Saccharomyces cerevisiae S288C: one gene and its partners. Changing the gene in region 1 together with any one later gene gives a genetic interaction. Each region holds a gene or a part of one and is shown on either strand. Other genes may lie near its edges. The genes, in order: PET9, RPL40A, GIS2 and SDD3.

Region 1 (4,703 bases):
TCATCGAGACTATTGGCGTTTCCAAAAGATTAGGAAATTCTGTATTAAGTGAACTGGATTCTAGAGCTAGCTCAAAATTTGAATTTTTAAAAGATCAATCCGAACAACAATACAACGGCGACAAGAACAATGAACCAAAATCGGGCTCGTATAATATTAATGAGTTCTTCCAAGCAAAGCACGACTCTCAATTTGGCCAGATGGAGTCGCTAGACACACATTATACCCTTTTACATACGCCCAAGAGAAAGTCACAACATGCAATCCCACAGGATCGATCGGATTCGATGAAAAGGTCGAGACCGTCCCGCTCAATTCCATACACTACACCAGTGGTAAACGATATCACAAGAAGAATACGAAGATTGAAATTACGGAACTCATTGGTTAATGGTAATGACATAGTGGCTAGAGCGAGATCTATGCAAGCAAATTCTAACATTAATTCAATAAAGAACACACCATTGTCAAAGCCCAAGCCATTTATGCACAAACCAAACTTTCTAATGCCCACTACGAATTCTTTGAACAAGATCAATTCCGCTCACCGTAATACATCCTCCTCTTCGACAGCTTCATCGATACCAAGATCTAAAGTACACAGATCGATATCAATAAGAGATTTACACGCCAAAACCAAACCGGTAGAACGCACGCCAGTTGCGCAAGGAACAAATTCGCAATTGAAGAATTCAGTTTCCGTTTTTGATAGACTTTACAAGCAAACAACGTTCTCTAGGTCGACGTCTATGAACAACTTATCGTCAGGAACCTCTGCAAAATCCAAGGAACACACAAATGTAAAGACTCGGTTGGTTAAAAGTAAGACAAGTGGTTCATTGTCCAGTAACCTTAAGCAAAGTACTGCCACCGGCACAAAGAGTGATAGACCTATTTGGCGGTGATTAAGTAATAAAAAAATTGCATTTTATAAGAAACATCATGTGATGACATTTAAAAAGTGGGAAAGAATACTACTAATATAAAACTATTTACTGGATATTTAGAATTTTTTTTTTTTCTTCTTTATACGTAAAAGTTGTTCAAAAAATTTCATCGTTTTCTTTTTTTATGAATCTTTGATTCTTGTTGAAAAGAATTTCTAAAAAAATAGGAGGATAATAATATTATCAAAACAAATCGTGTCACTCATTAAACACCAAAAATCCAAAGAAGAAAAAAAGGAAAATGTGAGAAAGAATTTAGATTAAGAATCAAGCCAGATTAGACTTATTTGAACTTCTTACCAAACAAGATCATTTGCAGTTGGTCGTACATTGAGATAACACCAGCACCTGCGACACCTCTTAAGATGTTAGCACCACAACCCTTGAATAGAGAACCAACACCTTCAGCAGCAACAATCTTCCTCAAACAGTCAAAGGCACCGTCGTACTTAACAGCTTGACCGGAGGTCATCATCATTCTTCTTCTAACGGTATCCAATGGGTAAGAACATGTAGAAGCACCAGTAGTAACAACCCAACCCAACAAGAATGAAGCCAAGAATGAACCTTCCAAAGAACCAGTCAACAATAGAGGCTTCAAAGAATCGTACATACCGAAGTATAGACCTCTGTAGACAACAATACCAACGACAGAAGGTAAGAAACCTCTGTAAAGACCAGCAACACCATCAGATTTTAAGGTCTTCTTGTAGACATCGATCAAACCGTTGAATTGACGAGCACCACCCTTTTTAGAGGACTTGGAGTCAGCAGCCAATCTAGTTCTTGCATAATCCAAAGAGTAAACAAATAGTAATGACAAGGCACCAGCAGCACCACCAGATGCCAAGTTACCGGCAAACCATTTGGCGTAACCTTCTTCCTTCTTGAAACCAAACATGGCCTTGATCTTGTCCTTGAAGGCGAAATTCAAAGCTTGAGTGGGGAAATAACGGATAACGTTAGCAGTGTTACCTCTCCAGAATGAGATAACACCTTCCTGTGTAGCGGTTCTCTTGAAACAGTCTAAGATACCTGCGTATTTTCTGTCCAAAGTACCTTGTTTTAACATTTCATCTTGGTTTTGGATCAAAAGTTTAACTCTTTCGATGGGAGATGCAGCAGTTTTGGCGACAGCGGCACTGACACCACCCATTAAGAAATCAATCAAAAAGTTAGATTCCTTCTTTGGAGCTGGGGCTGGAGGTAATGGGGTTTTGACTTGGGCGTTGGAAGACATGGCTATTTGCTTATATGTATGTTAATGTATGATTCTGAAGTATAAAAGAGCACACAAAAAAGAACAACGACAAATATAAATAATATAGAGGGGCTCCTTTGACTTGTAGATGTATTGCAATGTTCCGTATAACTAACAGTGAATATATACTTTTTTGAGTGGGTTGTCGTGAAAAATTAATATTAAAAACTCAAATGGTATTTATATTGTGCGACGACGTGGGCCCGATCGACGGAGACATGTCCCCGATAATCGCACCTCACCCTCTGAGAGTGGGGCCTTCTCATTGGCCCGCGCTCTACACCAATCAGCATAGCGCATTTACCGCCTTTCGCTTGTTCTCCATTGGAAACAGTGCTCGTGCATCGTGATGTTATTTGTTACGTATGGAAAAATCGTGTCTATACTTCTGTATAATATATGTATGGTTATAGTGAACACATATATATAAATACATATATAAGAGGAAGAAAAGGAAATTATTTCGTTATCAGTTGGGCTGCTTTTGTCGTAAGTTTTGTTGTTCTTGAATGACTTTATTAAGCTGTTCGTCATTCTTAAAATCTTGTCGCCAATTGCATATGGGGCAGTGCAACTGTTTTCCCCAGAAGACCGGAACCAACGGTATAAACCAAATAGTGAAAAATTCCTTTCTTTTTATGGGGCCGACACTATAATTGTGACAATTCGGGCAATACAGGTTTTGATGTCCGGGAACGGTATCGTATGAAGAGTCGAAACTCTTCATACCACATACAATAGGTATGAATGACATGGTAATTTTTTCTTTTTGAGGTTGTGTATTAAGTTGCTTATCTGATTTCACTTTACACCAATCTTCCTTGCTGACATTTATTCCCAACTTGTTCTTCAGCCGCTTGTTTTATAACGTACATTATTGTAAAAACGGAGTAGAAAGGGAAAAAGGGAAAGGGATGGACGTGGCTAATGCGCATCTTCGTTTGTGTGTATATCCTTTGATCTTCACTACATAATTTGTTACCCGACAATGCTTTTTTTTTTTTCTCAATTTTCATCTCTTTTCTTTTTCCTCATTTCTTATGAAAATCAGTGTGACTAAAATGAGACTTCGTATTTTTTGTAGAGGCACCATACGCCGGCTCCGCCGTCACCACATTCTCCCCTGCCGGTAAAGACCGGCGCACGCGGAAAAGGCGTACATAGCGTCGGGCGGTAACGGAGTCATTCCATCGCTGATAATTACCCCTTGCAGCAAACCCAGAGCCCTATTACGAATCTAGCCCATACACCGCGTTAGAGCACTCGCCGTTTTGCTCCGGGTCGTGCCGTCGTACATGCATACGCGTCCTGCAGGCATACCATAAGCCCACATACAATCACCTGTAGAAAGAAACAAAGCTTGTGTATGTAATCAAAGCAGAAATCTGATGGGTTCGAACGACTTCGTTATAGAAATATTATCTTTGGGTCTCGTCCTGCGTTATTCCTCCTGTCTCCTGCCGCTTTGATAACCTTTTCATTCCTCCCCTTAACTTGTTATTTCGTGTTACGATATTGGGTAACTTAGTAGCGTAAATGGTAAAATGTAGGGACTCAATCTCATAGGTGGTTATGTTTTTCGTTCTCATTTTTCAAATCTGTGACTTCACAGACAAAACGCGTAGTGATTTCTTTATCTGAATGAGCCTTCGAAAAAAAAAACAACGATTTCTTATGCAGTTAGTCGGCCAGTTGGTTATTGACTATCTGTGCGATTCCCCTTCCTGCATAAAAATAAACACAATCTTAATACGCCATACGTTGACTCCATTTTTTGCTCGTTTCATTATATTATCTTCCCATGCCGCTCCTGCGTGGGATTCCCTTTATTATAACTTTTAAGGTTTCTACCCACATATATGCAATTTTTATCATGTTTTTCTCTTTTTTTTTTTTTTTTTTTTTTTTCTCTCTTTGTTGTGTTTTCGAGAAAAAGTTCAATTGTTTAAAAGGAATTAAGCAAATTATATATATGCGACTGTTGGTTTCCAGTTCTAATCTGTACTCTTTTTTTTGAATTTGCACTGTTATCTCCTTTTATACTTGCGTGTTAATCTTGTATTAGGCAAAAGCTTAGTCGTAATATATAGAGATTATAAAACCAAAATAAAGCTAATGTGCGCCAATATCCCCGAATTCGACTCTTTTTACGAAAATGAAAATATAAATTACAACTTGGAATCATTCGCACCTTTAAATTGTGATGTTAATTCGCCCTTTCTCCCCATTAATAACAATGACATCAACGTTAATGCTTATGGTGACGAAAATTTAACGTACTCCAACTTTTTACTGTCTTATAACGATAAGCTGGCTACTACAACTGCTAAAAACAATAGCATTAATAATAGTAATAGTAATAATAATAGTAATAATAATAAAAATAATAATAATAATCATAATAATAATAATCTACTCGGTAATGACATCAGTCAGATGGCCTTTTTACTCGATTACCCTTCTACTCTCAACGAACCGCAATTTGCCGTAAATTG
Region 2 (4,155 bases), on another chromosome or scaffold:
ACATTACTGAATTCAACCAGTCTTTCCGTAATGATGGCTTGGGAATCATTTTCATTTACGATATTGCTCGACTCCAGTATTTTTCTTAATGATATCAGTTCATCTTGCGATAACGGCGATGCCGTTTCCTGTATCGCAGATGTATTTAAAAGAAGTAGTTTAACTTGACGGGCCAAATCCAAACGTTGTTTCACCAGAGAATGAATATTTGCTTCACAGCCATTTATCTTCTGTCTCAGTGAAGTTATTTCTCTTTCTTGCTTACGCTTAGTCAAAGAAACAGTTTCTAGTAGTTCTGTGGAACGTTTTAGTTCATGTTCCAATGATTTTGTTCTTTCCTTAAAAGAGATCAGTTCAGGGGTTTTATGCTCTAATTCTAGTATAAAATCCTCCAGTTGATTCTGTAATTGAAATTTCTGATTCCTTTCCTTTATCAATTGTCTTTTCAGCACTTTGATATCAGAAAATAGTTTACCTACTGTGGGAGAAACTGCACTCGTAGTCATTGTAGCTTCTTCTTCCTTGGTACAATCCATAACTATATTCTGTAACCTTTGACACTCATTTTTTGATTTTTCGAGTCTTAATTTTGTGTCTATAAGTTCGTCTATCACATCAGTATGTTCAGGGTTCCTGCAGGAATTATCATCATTTTTCTCTATTGCTCTCAAGGAACAATCTTTTTCCAATGATGTTAGTTGTGAGCGTAGCAAATCGTTCATATTTTTTTGTAAAGTCATTTCTTTGGAGAATTCTGCTTTTTCCACACTTGCGGTATCTTTCAAATTTTTCATTTCCAGTACTTTCTCTTCCACCGACTGGGATAATTGTTTATTTTGATTTAGTAAAAACTTATTGTACGTAAAGACAGATTCATAGTTGGATTGCATTTGGTATAGTTTTTCTTCGAGGTTCTCTACGTGCGATGATTTTGTGACTTCTTCTGTTAGCGTTTTTTTGCTAAAAGATGATAATTTTTCTTCAATTAATTTTTTACTTTGTAACATTAATTCTTTTTCCTGTACTGAGGTATCGTACTTTAACTGTAATGATATAGCATTGGACTTGCACCTTTGTAGTATATTTTCCATTTCCATCAGCTTTCTTCGAAGAAGCTTATTTTCTTTGTTCAAATCATCATTTAAAGAATCATTCCCCTGATCTCTACTCTGCCAAATGTCATATTCTTCTTTAACTCGTTTTTCGTCATTTACTTCTCTCATAGCTTCATGGCTCACATGCAATTGTTTTTTTAGTGCATCTATTTCCCGCCTATATCTGGAACGTTCTTCATTCAGCTGATCTTTCAAGCCATTCAATTCTTCTTTAGCTGTGTTCTTCTGCTCAGAAGATTCATCTAGTAGCTGCTTAAGTTTTGAAATCCTTGAATAGTACTGCGATTTGATCTCATCGACCAAAACATTGAGTTTTGTCACTTCCTCTTCAGAACGTTCAAACTTGGCTATTTTCTTGTATAACTTTCTTAAGACAGGATAGGTAACACCTTGAAGTGATTCGAATGGAACATTTAAAAACTCAGATATTTTGTCCTCCATTGCCGGTTTGCTTCCGCCCAGTGTTCTTTCGCCTTAAATTTCTTTTGGTAAACTTCCACTAGAAAAAGAAAAGCCACCAGAGAAATAAGCGCTTGCAATTTAACGCCGATATTGTTTTCTTCTTCTATTATCTTCAATTATCGATCAACTCTATCCAACAATTCTATAATATCCACTGTTCATTAACGAATATTGGTCTTTTTCCCTTATGGTGAAGTAAATTTTCCATGCAATATCCGGGTAAGCTATCGACAAGTTTATTGACTGCAATTTGAGTTTATTACATCCGTACATTACTAAGATGTATGGTTTTTCTATTTTTGTGCTCCGTGTCGATATTTCGTGGAGCAAACCAGAAAAGATGCGGAACCTCTTAGCACTCCGCCTGGACATAGGCGGAGCATATTCCTCCTATGGGATGGGTTTTGTTGTACTCTTTTCTCTCTAGACAGGACCTCCGATTGCCTCCCTGAGGGTGAGATGGTTTCCGGCCTCAGGACGGCCTTCTCCAGTTTCTAGCGAGGCATACATTCCAACCAAAGGTGTATCAAGAATATCTGAAATTAAAGGTAGTTGAATCTCTATTTGTTGTTGTTATTACCGCTTATTATCCCATAGTTGAGACGACCAAGATTCAAACATGCAAATGTATGCACCATATCCATTCTAAACATAGTTTTTCGAACGTTCAGAGCTTAAAGGGACAATTATTTTAGAAACTGAATTTTTACCCAGTGGAATAACATCGTATCTGTAAAGTCTACAAAATTTTTTATCCATCAAAAATTAAAACAAAGAAAACTGCCAAACTGAATATGAGGAACTTTCCTCTCTAGGAATGACTTAGTGAATGTACAGTGACTTGTGGAAAATATGATTAGATTTTGAGCGGGTGATGCGACTTAACAGTCTCATTGCCTAAGAAATATCCAAATTTGTGGTTCATGCTCTCCCCCAAGATATGACGATGAGAGCTCGTTTAAAATTTTGTCTTCTTCCGAACAGTTATGAAAAAACTATTACGTGTTTTTATGATATCCTTACTAACTTGTCATTTTTTTATAAAATTATTTTTTTAACAGTTTTGTCAAGACTTTGACTGGTAAGACCATCACTTTGGAAGTTGAATCTTCTGACACTATTGACAATGTCAAGTCAAAGATTCAAGACAAGGAAGGTATCCCACCTGACCAACAAAGATTGATCTTTGCTGGTAAGCAATTGGAAGACGGTAGAACCTTGTCTGACTACAACATTCAAAAAGAATCCACTTTGCACTTAGTCTTGAGATTGAGAGGTGGTATCATTGAACCATCTTTGAAAGCTTTGGCTTCCAAGTACAACTGTGACAAATCTGTTTGCCGTAAGTGTTATGCTAGATTGCCACCAAGAGCTACCAACTGTAGAAAGAGAAAGTGTGGTCACACCAACCAATTGCGTCCAAAGAAGAAGTTAAAATGATCTGTTTCGCCCAATCAATCTATACATTTATTTACTGTATACTTTAATGTACATCTTCTTTTATCATACCTACTGTTAAAATCATAATATTAATTCATACAATATACTTAAGAAAACAATATACTTTTCTTAGTTTCATAACTTTGGAATCTATAATGTTGTTTTTTTTTTTTTAAGTATATTTGTATATTATGCATATAAGTCAACGCGTAGCGGTGGTATTACGCGCAAGCTTTTGATTTCTCTTACTATTCTTGGTTGTTCATTTGTTATTTTTCTTTCCCTGATATGCTGCACAAAACTCAGTAAGAATAGTTTTCAATTTTGGTCTTTTGATTGGTTTCGATAAAAATCCGTTCATTCCTGATTCCAAACATTCTTTAATGTTGCTATCGTCAGCAAAAGCGGTTAGAGCGACAATAGGTGAGGTATAACCTAAATCGCGCCTTATCATCTTGGTAGAAAGTAAACCATCCACTTTAGGCATCTGGACATCCATGAAAATCATATTATAATTTTCGCCCTTAGATGTCAATTCTTTAACTTTGTCGAATGCTTCTTGGCCATCGCAAGCCAGTTCAATATTTTCAATGCCCTCCAAGTTCAACATTCTTTTGATAACTTCCTGATTTACATGATTATCTTCTACAACCAAAATTTTGACACTTGTTTCATTTTTATCGTCGTCTTTGACTGTGGGGATGTTTCTACTTGATGTGGCTGTACCAGTACTTTGCAAAAATGGTCTATCAAGATTGACAGAACCTAGACCTTCATGTCGAGAACGATGCTTAGAAGACAAGGAATTTTGTTCGTTAACTTCAGCACCTGTAAGACATATAGAAGGTTTAATATTTTTTTCCTGCAGTTGTTCAAGCCCTCCATTGTCGTTTTTTTCTTCTCTTCCCATGTTAGGATTTCCAACATCTTTCGTCTCATGCTTACCTTTACTTCTTACCTCCGGTAGCACGTCGTTGGTTAGGCTACTTCTATTTGTAGCTGGTGTTGCAACAGATGATGTGGATTGTCGGCTCTTGATGCTTTTAGCAACACTAAACTTGACTCTTCTGTTCTTTCTACTCTCAGGATTAAATTCGTCCTCAAAAGGAAACTCCATATCTGCAAAACTGATCTCTTT
Region 3 (3,898 bases), on another chromosome or scaffold:
GCATGAGAGCGTCATCATCGACGTTGGAGGGTGTTCTACCAGGCCTAACTCTATTCAGGCGTCTGAGGAAGAAGAAATACGCAGGTCTATCCCATTAATTAAGGCCATTAGAGAAAGCACTGAGTTACCGCAAGATAAAGTCATACTATCCATTGATACTTATCGTTCCAATGTCGCTAAAGAAGCGATTAAAGTTGGAGTGGATATTATTAATGATATTTCGGGAGGTTTATTTGACAGCAACATGTTTGCCGTAATTGCAGAGAACCCAGAAATTTGTTATATTTTATCACACACACGTGGTGATATTTCAACGATGAATAGGCTGGCGCATTACGAAAATTTTGCATTGGGTGATTCTATTCAGCAAGAATTTGTTCATAATACCGACATTCAGCAGCTAGACGACTTGAAAGACAAAACAGTGTTAATCAGGAATGTTGGTCAAGAAATTGGCGAAAGGTATATCAAAGCGATTGATAATGGAGTAAAGCGCTGGCAAATTCTAATCGACCCTGGACTTGGTTTTGCTAAGACCTGGAAGCAAAACTTACAAATTATTAGACATATCCCCATTTTAAAGAACTACTCATTCACCATGAACTCAAACAATTCGCAAGTGTATGTTAACCTCAGAAATATGCCCGTTTTATTGGGTCCATCGCGCAAAAAATTCATTGGACATATCACAAAAGATGTGGATGCGAAGCAAAGAGACTTTGCTACTGGAGCGGTGGTAGCGTCGTGTATTGGTTTCGGCAGCGACATGGTTAGGGTCCATGACGTTAAAAATTGTTCGAAGAGCATTAAATTAGCAGATGCTATTTATAAAGGTTTGGAATAAAGGTTAGTTATATAGATTAAATATGTAATTCTGTTTTGTAATAATTTTTTTTCCTGTTTCATAATAAAGAATCGTTAAAAATAACCAAGGGAGGAAACAAGTGAAATGAAGTATAGAAAAGATATAGAAAATAAACTTAAATATTCAGTTTACTTGTGCTTCTTTTTTCCCCTCTATGAAATATAGCATGATAAGTGATTGTTCCTTTGTTTTTTTCAGTGGATGTTTCACCTAAGCCTTTGGACAATCCTTGGAAATATGGCCAGTTTCGTTACAGTTGTAACAAAGCCTGTCATTTTGACAGTCCCTGGACATGTGGCCAGCTTGACCACAAGTGTAACATTTCAATCCACTAATTCCGTCCTCTTTCATACAGTCCTTAGCCATATGGTTTGGACCACCACATTTATAACATGAAACTTTGGAGAATCTGCTGGTCTTCTTTGGTTCAGGGCATTCTCTGGAGATGTGGCCGGTTTGGTTACAGTTGAAACAACGTTGCACAGTACATTCACTTCTAACGTGACCGGTTTCACCACAATTGTAACATTGCTTGAATTCAACTGTTCTTGGCATGGTACAATCCGTTTGAACGTGACCGGGTTTGTTACAGTTGTAACATAGTCTTTCAGAATCACAGTCTTCTGCCAAATGGCCAATCTTACCGCAAACGTAACAAGCTTTTTGAGACATCTTTTTCGTATTCTTTTCTTTTTTCCTGATTTCTGAAGGGAAAGCCTTAAAATAATACAATCCTCAAGTGCCCCCAAAGCAGAAAGAGCATTTCTAATCCATCGATGACCTTATTACAACTCTTGCCAAAAGAGAAAAGGAACGAAAAGAAAATTTTTTCAGCATTTCGTCTATCATGACACCACAGCAGTTCTTACTATAAAGCTCAAATCCCTAAGCCATAAAGGCAACAAACGGCAATATACTACCTGTTTAATCGTGCGTATCCAGTCGCCATCTCCTGCTGGAATAGTTATGAACATCGAGTTTCAGTTCCCGCAGACGGTCTTCCTCTATGGCAGCTTCCCATTGCTCAATTGGATCAGAGTCGGCTACTATGATACCGTATTCAACTGTATCCTCGAGTAAGTCATAGGCTAGCATCCTTAATTCGGGATCGTAGTAATATTCCTTCTCGTTTAATTGTTGCTTTGGATGTTTATTCGGTGTCTTCGACGAGCAAGATTTATTCGAGAGATTTAATTGGTAAATACAAAAAGACGTAAGGGTTTCTGGAGCCAAAACGTAGTTACAGAAATCTGTTATCCCCCACCATTTTAAGGTTGCGGGCTGATTGTGCGTGAGTGCCCTTTTATATCTCTTAGCGATTTCTTCGCCAACCCTCAATTGCCTTTTCAGGCCGTAAAATCCAGCAGTAAATTTGTTTAAATTCAACTTTCTAAACTCATCTACGGACAAGTAAGCCTTTTGTGAGTTTTTGAATGCATTTTTTGCTTCAAAATAGTATACAGACGATATCTTTCCCTCCAATATGTCCATTACAATGGGCATGAAGGGTTCTACTTCAGTGAGTAGCTCATCCGAAAACAACATGGGTGGTAGTTTGAACTTGCTCATGTATTCTTCCCTTACTTGAAGTTTTTTGATTATCTGCTCTTTAGAACTCAAACAACTTTGTAACGATAGCTTTTTATCCTCGGGAAATGAAGAGGAGAAGATTTGGTTATCTTCAACTGCCGATAGTTCTGCCTCCAAGAGTAATTTTTTACCGTCTAAAAGATTATTGTTCCTGCATTTGATAGACTCGATATCTTCATTTTTCAAATTCTGTATTAGTGGGATAGAAACGACCTTCTCTTCTTCTTTTTCTTTTCCTCTGAGTGCTGCATTCTTTGCGGCTTGTACTTCTGAATTTGGAAATGACCTCGAAAGTTTATCAAATGTGGCCACAGTGGAAAGCTTTTTTACTTCAATCTCATCTTCTGTGATACTGTCTATTTTGCCGCGCTTTTTTGAGGGGGAAAAGGCATCATGGCCTGATAAGTCGTCACTTTCTCTATCATGTATGTCATGTTTTCCTTGTCTTTTCATTAACAGTAAGTTATCACCACTTCCCTTTTTTGTGGAATAAACACCTTTTCTCCTCACTCGATTAATTCCCAGACCAGGCCCAACCATCTCTGTCTACGCAGGTCAAAAATTTGTGCTAAGGTCTCGAGAGCACATACAGTACCCTTTTAATGTGATCTCATCGCTACATTTTTCAAAGCTTCCCATTTTAGCGACGCCATCTATATATAGGAAAAAAAAAAAGTTTAGGACGCTATTTACCACAACAATTGAGATGCAGCACAAATAGGAGTATCATTGCCTCCCAATTTTCAAGGGAGTTTTCAGAGAATTACTATTCCATACCTATTCAATTACTGGAGTTGTCTTCAGTATCATAAAGGGTTTTGGATTTTCAATCGAATTGCCATTTTTTTCCTGCTTACGTTCGATAGATAGCCAAATGCAGTTTATATATATGTATGTAGACTTGAAGGTATATTAACAGTGCCCATGTTTCTTTGGAAAGTGTCAAATATCGCAAAGCATAACCTTGAAGGTTAACATTATTTTCTAGAAATACACCTTTCCCACTGGATATGATGACGGAAGAAACAAAACGTTAAATTATTGTACCGTTGTATAAAACAGTAACCGAGCATGGACAATTCATTTTTACACCCCAACGACGCCACTAACCATGTATAGGTGTCTTGCCTAACTTATCATTATTCATAGTAGAATTAAGAAAATTAAAAGCCTTGCACCACAGGTTACGTACATAAGATATTATGTTAAATATATATCTCTTCAGTATTTCTACGTACAAAGCTTCACTCATTGAGGTTTGATTGGTGTACAGCTACATACATAAAAAGGATCAAGTGAACTATTCGGCATGTCGACAATTGGAGCTGTTGATATTCTTAATCAAAAGACCATAACTTCTGAAGTGGCTGCCTCAGTGACTTCAAAATATCTACAAAGTACGTTTTCTAAAGGTAATACAAGTCATATCGAAGATAAAAGGTT
Region 4 (6,782 bases), on another chromosome or scaffold:
CCAAGAAAACCATGCAAAGCTATCCAACTTCTAGTTCGAAAAGTAGCAGGTCAAGCTCTCCTGCGACAACATCAAGACCAGGAACTTATAAGCGTACTTCTTCTACAGAAAGTAAACCATTTGCCAAATCTCCACCTTTGTCAGCATCAGTTTTATCGTCAAAAGTCCCAATGCCTCCATACACACCTCCAATGTCGCCCCCTATGACACCATATGATACATATCAAATGACACCTCCCTATACGACAAAACAGCAGGATTATTCTGATACCGCAATTGCCGCACCTAAGCCTTGTATTAGTAAGCAAAATGTTAAAAATAGCACAGATTCTCCCTTGATGAACAAGCAAGATATTCAATGGTCCTTTTACCTGAAAAACATCAACGAACATGTACTAAGGACGGAAAAACTGGATTTTGTTACCACAAATTACGATATCTTAGAGAAGAAAATGCTTAAACTAAATGGTTCATTGTTAGATCCTCAACTGTTTGGTAAGCCTAGACATACTTTTTTATCCCAAGTAGCTAGGAGTGGGGGAGAGGTTACAGGTTTTCGAAATGATCCAACTATGACTGCTTATTCCAAAACAGAAGATACGTACTATTCGAAAAATATTATCGATTTGCAGCTCTTGGAAGATGATTATCGAATTGAAGGAGGTGACTTATCGGAGTTGCTTACTAACAGAAGCGGAGAAGGGTACAAATGCAATCAAAACAGCTCACCAATGAAAGACGATGATAAATCCGAATCTAACAATAAAGGAAGCTCTGTTTTTTCTGGCAAGATTAAAAAATTATTTCACCCTACCTCAGCAGCTGAAACGCTCTCTTCCTCTGATGAAAAAACCAAGTACTATAAACGAACCATTGTAATGACATCATTTGGAAGGTTTCTAGTATTTGCCAAGAGGAGGCAGCCAAATCCAGTTACAAATTTAAAGTATGAACTAGAATATGACATAAATTTGCGTCAACAGGGTACCAAAATAAAAGAACTAATCATTCCCTTGGAAATGGGAACTAATCATATAGTTGTGATTCAGACACCTTACAAGTCATTTCTTTTGAGCACTGATAAAAAAACCACGAGCAAATTGTTTACTGTTCTCAAAAAAATTCTTAATTCGAATACAAATAAAATAGAGAAAGAACTGTTGCAAAGAAACCAAAAGGTAATTGAAAGAAGAACATCATCATCCGGAAGAGCCATACCTAAAGATCTTCCAACTTCCAAGTCTCCTTCGCCAAAACCCAGGACGCATAGCCAATCTCCATCAATTTCAAAGCACAATTCGTTTTCTGAATCGATTAATAGCGCTAAGAGCAACAGATCAAGCAGAATTTTTGAAACCTTTATCAATGCCAAGGAACAAAATTCAAAAAAACACGCTGCTCCAGTACCGTTAACCAGTAAATTAGTTAACGGATTGCCAAAAAGACAAGTTACCGTGGGATTAGGTCTAAACACAGGAACAAATTTCAAAAACTCATCTGCAAAATCGAAGAGGTCGTAATTAGTAATTTTATCTAATGTTTTCATCAAGCTACTTAAATACTCTAAAAATAAATATATGAGGAATTTCAAGTACTCATATAAATATAATAATAATTCTCGATCAATCAAATGAAAGAGCGCCGTAAGGCAGAATCCCAGAATTCGAAAAGAATGAGACAATGCTCCTTTTGCTATTTATTGAATGCAGATAATACGCACTGTTTCTGTGTTGAAAGTGAAGCTGAAATGGAGGTCATGTACTCACGCATTTTCGTCTTCTTCACTATCAATTTCGTCATCGTCATCTTCTAGCTCTTCTATTTCGACAGTGAAACCTTGAGTTTCAAAGAATTCTTGAACTGATTCCAATTTAGCTGGATGACAGCTCACAAAGGCAACGCTTTTATTGGAATCAAACATGTTGACAAAATATTTCTGCATGGCATTTTTCAGATCTGTTTTGGTAACATTCTGCAACCTTTCCAAATACAATTCATTGAAGTTGTTCCCCCTTTGCAAACAGAATTCATCAACATATTTGGACAGGGCTGTTTCAAAGTATCCGCATTCGATAGTAGCCAGCCTGTTAATAATACTACTGATGGCACCTTGGATTAACTGCTCATCAAATTCCAAGGCACCTGATGCATAATCTTGAACAATCTGTTTTCCAACTTCATAACATTTAATAATATCAGCGCCGCGGTAAATATTGAATCCCCAAGAATTTATCTCACATAATTTTAACATGCTGGCACCATAGGCCAATCCGGCACCACGGATTCCCTTCCAAAATGGACCTTCAACACATTCTAGATATTCGGAAGCCAATGAGACAATAGCGTATTCGGGATCATGGTAGTCCAAGTTAAATGGGATAGACGTTATTAGATTCATATAAGCAGATTCTGAGGCGGGAGTAGTTATTATAAAGGCCTTTTCACCAGGTGTTCTGCAAATCGATGAAATGGTATCTAGGGCTCTTGGAACTGGTGGAATTTTTAACTTCTCAACTGGATGTGCAATGTTCAAGCACTTAATTAAGGGATTCCATGGTTCATAAACGTCATCGATCTTTGAGATGTCACCAAGAACCAAAATATGAAACTTGTTGAAATTTGCTCTCAGTTGCTTTCTCATTGTTTCTATTCTTGGCAAAATTTCTTTCTCAAAGTTGCCATTCTCAATTTCTGCAAAAATCTCTTGTAATTTTGCTTCAACAAATAATGGATCGGTGGATTTTTTCAGCGATCTTGCCGAATAGAGATTTCTGTTAGTTAAAGAACTTAACATAACATTACCATTTCTTTTCCATTCTACAATAGAATTCAAATAATTCTCCAGCAGAATACGAACACGATTTTCATCAAAAACCATGTCAAATAGGCAGTGCTTGATCCATTGAACAGAGTTAGAGTAACCCCCAGCTCTACATTGAATTTTAAAATTAATAAGGTCAGGACAAGAACCCTTCAAACCTTGGTTGATCTGTGCGTCAATAGTTTCTGATTTTAACTTGGCGACAACTTCCTCAAACGAGAGCATAGTTTCTACATTACTCTCCTCATCAAGGATTTTCATTGGCATGGAAAATAGCTCGTCAAACATATTAAAATATGGTAAAAGCGAGGTATCCTTAATAGATGCGGAGTTGACCAAAAAATGCAGCTCTATAAATTGAGACGGGAAATGATTTAAGTGAATGAAAAGAGGAAAATTGTCTGGCCTCGTTTCTAAAATTTTTTTGGTCAGCGGATCACTAACATTATTGTATTTATACGAATCGACAGTTGCAATGCTTTTCGTGTTGACAAATTCAACACTCTTTGAAGGATTATCAATCTCAAATTTCTGTAGTAGAGATTTCGGAATTGGCCTATCATTAATATTTTTTGCATTGTTCAATCTTTTCAATAAAACCAGTTTCTTTTCATCATCAAATTCAGCTTCTCTTTGTTTGATCAAATCCGATTTTTCTTTCTCTAGTTGTTCATACATCAAAGCGCTTGGTTTAGCGGTAACTATGATAGGTTTGTTGTCTACGAATATTCTGTTCAGCAAAGATTGCCAGTCCTTTTGGGACCATTGTAATAAAGCATCAAAATCACTTAAATCCTTGAGAGAAGACACTAATGAAGAACCATCTTCATTACCATAAATATAGTCGGTAATCACAGCACTAGAAAAACGACTCTCGCCATTTTTTTCATAGTTCAGCAAATATTCCCATTTAGTATTTTCAACTACCTGTCTAACTCTTGATAAATCAATGGTATGGGTTTTCAAAATCTCCAGTACCTTGGTCTTTGTTGCTGCTATTTTTTCTGTTGGGACACCTTGGATACGAAGATCAATTATGGTTCTCATGAAATAATCAGTGCAACAATCAGTGGAATTTGCCATGGGATCGTCAATTTCAACCAGTTCTCTTGTAAACACTGCCAATGCAGAGTCAGTAAAGTAATCTAATAGCACATCAACCGCTAGGTCATTACGAAAATCTGAGTAGGGAACACCAATCCAAGAAAAGAGTAATTCACCCTGACTTTCATCAAGTTCAGGAAATTCTACAGTAGATTCCGTAACTTTATCTCTAGATTGCGGTATGTGCGAAAGCTTGTTGTCCAAAAATGGTCTTTTCTTTGGTATATTCGATGGAATCTCCGGCAATTTGTTATCCCATTCTTCCATGACGGTTAACAGTTCATCTGTTGGTACGTTACCACAAACAATGACACAAAGATTATCAGAAGAATACAGAGATTTGTGAAATTGTCTGATTTCGTCGTTGGTTAAGGTTCTTAAATTTTTCGTTAGCCCACCAGTTTCTGACCGATAGCCACTTCCTTCAGGAAACATTAATCGCTGCTTTTCTAACCCTGAAATGTACCAGCCCTGAGTTTCAATGGCTTCCATTTCACTAAATACCACACCTTTATCACCCAAATTTTCCGGGTCGATGTGATAAACCTCAGTTAAACAAGCCTCGTCTGTTAAAGTTGGATGTAGGATGTGATCTAGATAAGCAGGTAGCAACTTTGAGAATCCCTTCCAGCCAGCACTGCTTAATGTATAAACAGTTTGGTCGGTATCAGTCCAAGCATTGGTGTTAGACAAAGACAGATTACCAGCTGTGTCTAATAAACCTTTGTATGGGTAAGATTTAGAACCCATGAAGATCAAATGCTCCAAGGTATGCGGAGCACCTGAATCATTAAGACATTCTGTAGGAACAGCAAAGTAACCGTGAACCAATGGGGAGGTTTTGTGGTTTATATGTACCAGTTGCAGTTTAGTTCGTTCCGAGATATATTTAGTTATATGGTATTGTGGGACATAATCCGGTTGGAATGATACGAGCTTCTTGAACCCCATTGTGAAGATTCGACGAACTGTGTTGAAAGTGCGTATAATTGGTCTTCGTGCCGTTTTTTGGGTCACTTTCAACTTTTCAGCGAGTAGTTTCTCTCACTATATCTTACGCTCTGTTAAAATCTTTTGCCACTACTTCAAAATTACGATCTATGGGATGAAAAATTTACATGAATTTACCAATACTCGGAAAAATGCAGGACAAGAAATAAGAACATTTGTATAATACAAGAGACGCATATACACATACCTACTCAGATAAGTTTAACGAGTTTCTCTTCCATAGGAGGGTCTAATCTCCTTCAGAAGTCTAACGTCTAAAAGTTCGTAAAGAATATCATCATAAAGTATGGTATACAAAATTTACTGTGCAACAACAGCACAATGCAGTCCATGATCTGCTCATCTGAGCACGAAAACCTAACCTGCAAGTACTGGCCTGTTAGCTTCCTCGCTTCTTGGTGTGAGAATGGGTCTGGCACACTGATGCAGAAAGATGGTAGTCTTTTATATGCCGTGAAAAATTTTTCCCATATATTTGAAAAAAAAATTTTTCATACCAATCTATAGAAATAGTGAGGTCAGGAGACATCGCAACACTATTGTTCTATTGCATTATTTTTTTAGTGTTAAACTACAATTTCGGATTCTATATCATTGTATATAATAGCGTCAGAATAAGCGTGACTACTTACTTCTTTTCTTGCTTAGTTTTTGGCTTAGGTGCGACAAGTCTTTCCTTTTCGCCCCAAACCAACTTATGTGGGACCATGAATTTGTCCAAGGTCTCTTCGTCCACCTGAGCTCTGCGTTCCTGGAACGCCTTAACGAATTCTTGCAGAGTCTCGATACACAGTTTCTTCATTTCACCTGATAGTAATTCACCGGACTTATATTTGTCATAGCATTCCTTCAAGAAAACATCGTCATCCTTGAAAAATGACAAGTATTGGTATGCAACATCGACATCGGGATTACCACCTAATTCTCTATGTAGGTCGGCGGACACTTGACCACCGCTGAATGCGTACTTGTTAATTTTCTTTTGAATTTGCTTTGGTGTATCGGTCATGAAAATGGCAGTGGTATCATCAGAGGCTGACATTTTGGTCGTGGAACCTTGCAAAGCTGGAAAGAATCTGGAATGAAGCAAAGCAGGTTTGGAGTACTTCAATTTATCCGCGACATCCCTACAAACTCTGAAATATGGATCTTGGTCAATTGCACATGGAATCAAACATGGTGTCTTATCAGGCAAGCCTAACACATTAGGAAATGAGCTTGGGAATGCGGTAGCAATTTGAATGGAGGCAAAATGGAACTTACCAATACAGTCGGAGTCATTAAACCCGAAAACAGCCTTTGCAGTGGATCCTGTAATTTGTCTGGAAACTCTTACTACAGTTTCGTAAAATGCACCACCCATGTATTGCAAATCAGAAAAGATAAAGGTGTTCTTTGGATCAAAGCCAACAGCAATGATATCCTTGGCATTTTCACGGGCAAAATTCTTAACGTCATTGATGGTCAACTTGTGTTTGAATAAAAATTTTTCGTCATCTGTCAACTCTATGACTAATGGTACGTCAAACACTTCCTGTAACCATTTGGTGAAGACAAAAGGGATCATATGACCCAAGTGCATAGAATCGCTCGAAGGACCTCTACCAGTGTATAGGAAAAATGGTTTGCCTTGTTCGTAAAGGTCTAATATTTTAGTGAAGTCACGCTCACTGAAAAACAATCCCTTACGCAAAAAATGATGTGGTTCACGACCCGTCACTTGCTTGAATCTCTTCAGGGTTTCTTCGTTGACCGGCTTAGTACCGAATTGTTTGATCAATTTGTCGTAATCAATATTTTGGGCTCTACCTTGTTCATCAACCCCACCTTCCACATCCCAAGGTGT

What was found.
Region 2: of PET9 (region 1) and RPL40A, extra expression of one rescues a mutant of the other (dosage rescue), as found in Saccharomyces cerevisiae (one study listed by BioGRID).
Region 3: of PET9 (region 1) and GIS2, extra expression of one rescues a mutant of the other (dosage rescue), as found in Saccharomyces cerevisiae (one study listed by BioGRID).
Region 4: of PET9 (region 1) and SDD3, extra expression of one rescues a mutant of the other (dosage rescue), as found in Saccharomyces cerevisiae (one study listed by BioGRID).

What each region holds. Positions count from the first base shown.
Region 1 is NC_001134.8:161,811-166,513, forward strand, and holds PET9 (ADP/ATP carrier protein PET9), read right to left. Parts: upstream 2,188-4,703; coding exon 1,231-2,187; downstream 1-1,230. Other genes in the region: SHE1 (She1p), read left to right, coding at 1-905; YBL029C-A (uncharacterized protein), read right to left, coding at 2,678-2,962; YBL029W (uncharacterized protein), read left to right, coding at 4,324-4,703.
Region 2 is NC_001141.2:66,512-70,666, forward strand, and holds RPL40A (ubiquitin-60S ribosomal protein eL40 RPL40A fusion protein), read left to right. Parts: upstream 1-2,196; coding exon 2,197-2,204; intron 2,205-2,638; coding exon 2,639-3,017; downstream 3,018-4,155. Other genes in the region: MLP2 (Mlp2p), read right to left, coding at 1-1,556; SLN1 (histidine kinase), read right to left, coding at 3,280-4,155.
Region 3 is NC_001146.8:166,254-170,151, forward strand, and holds GIS2 (mRNA-binding translational activator GIS2), read right to left. Parts: upstream 1,538-3,898; coding exon 1,076-1,537; downstream 1-1,075. Other genes in the region: trifunctional dihydropteroate synthetase/dihydrohydroxymethylpterin pyrophosphokinase/dihydroneopterin aldolase FOL1, read left to right, coding at 1-844; RTC4 (Rtc4p), read right to left, coding at 1,790-2,995; TEX1 (Tex1p), read left to right, coding at 3,765-3,898. UniProt on the Saccharomyces cerevisiae protein: May act in the sexual differentiation pathway.
Region 4 is NC_001147.6:130,963-137,744, forward strand, and holds SDD3 (Sdd3p), read right to left. Parts: upstream 4,877-6,782; coding exon 1,763-4,876; downstream 1-1,762. Other genes in the region: serine/threonine protein kinase PKH2, read left to right, coding at 1-1,520; YOL097W-A (uncharacterized protein), read left to right, coding at 5,258-5,443; tryptophan--tRNA ligase WRS1, read right to left, coding at 5,565-6,782.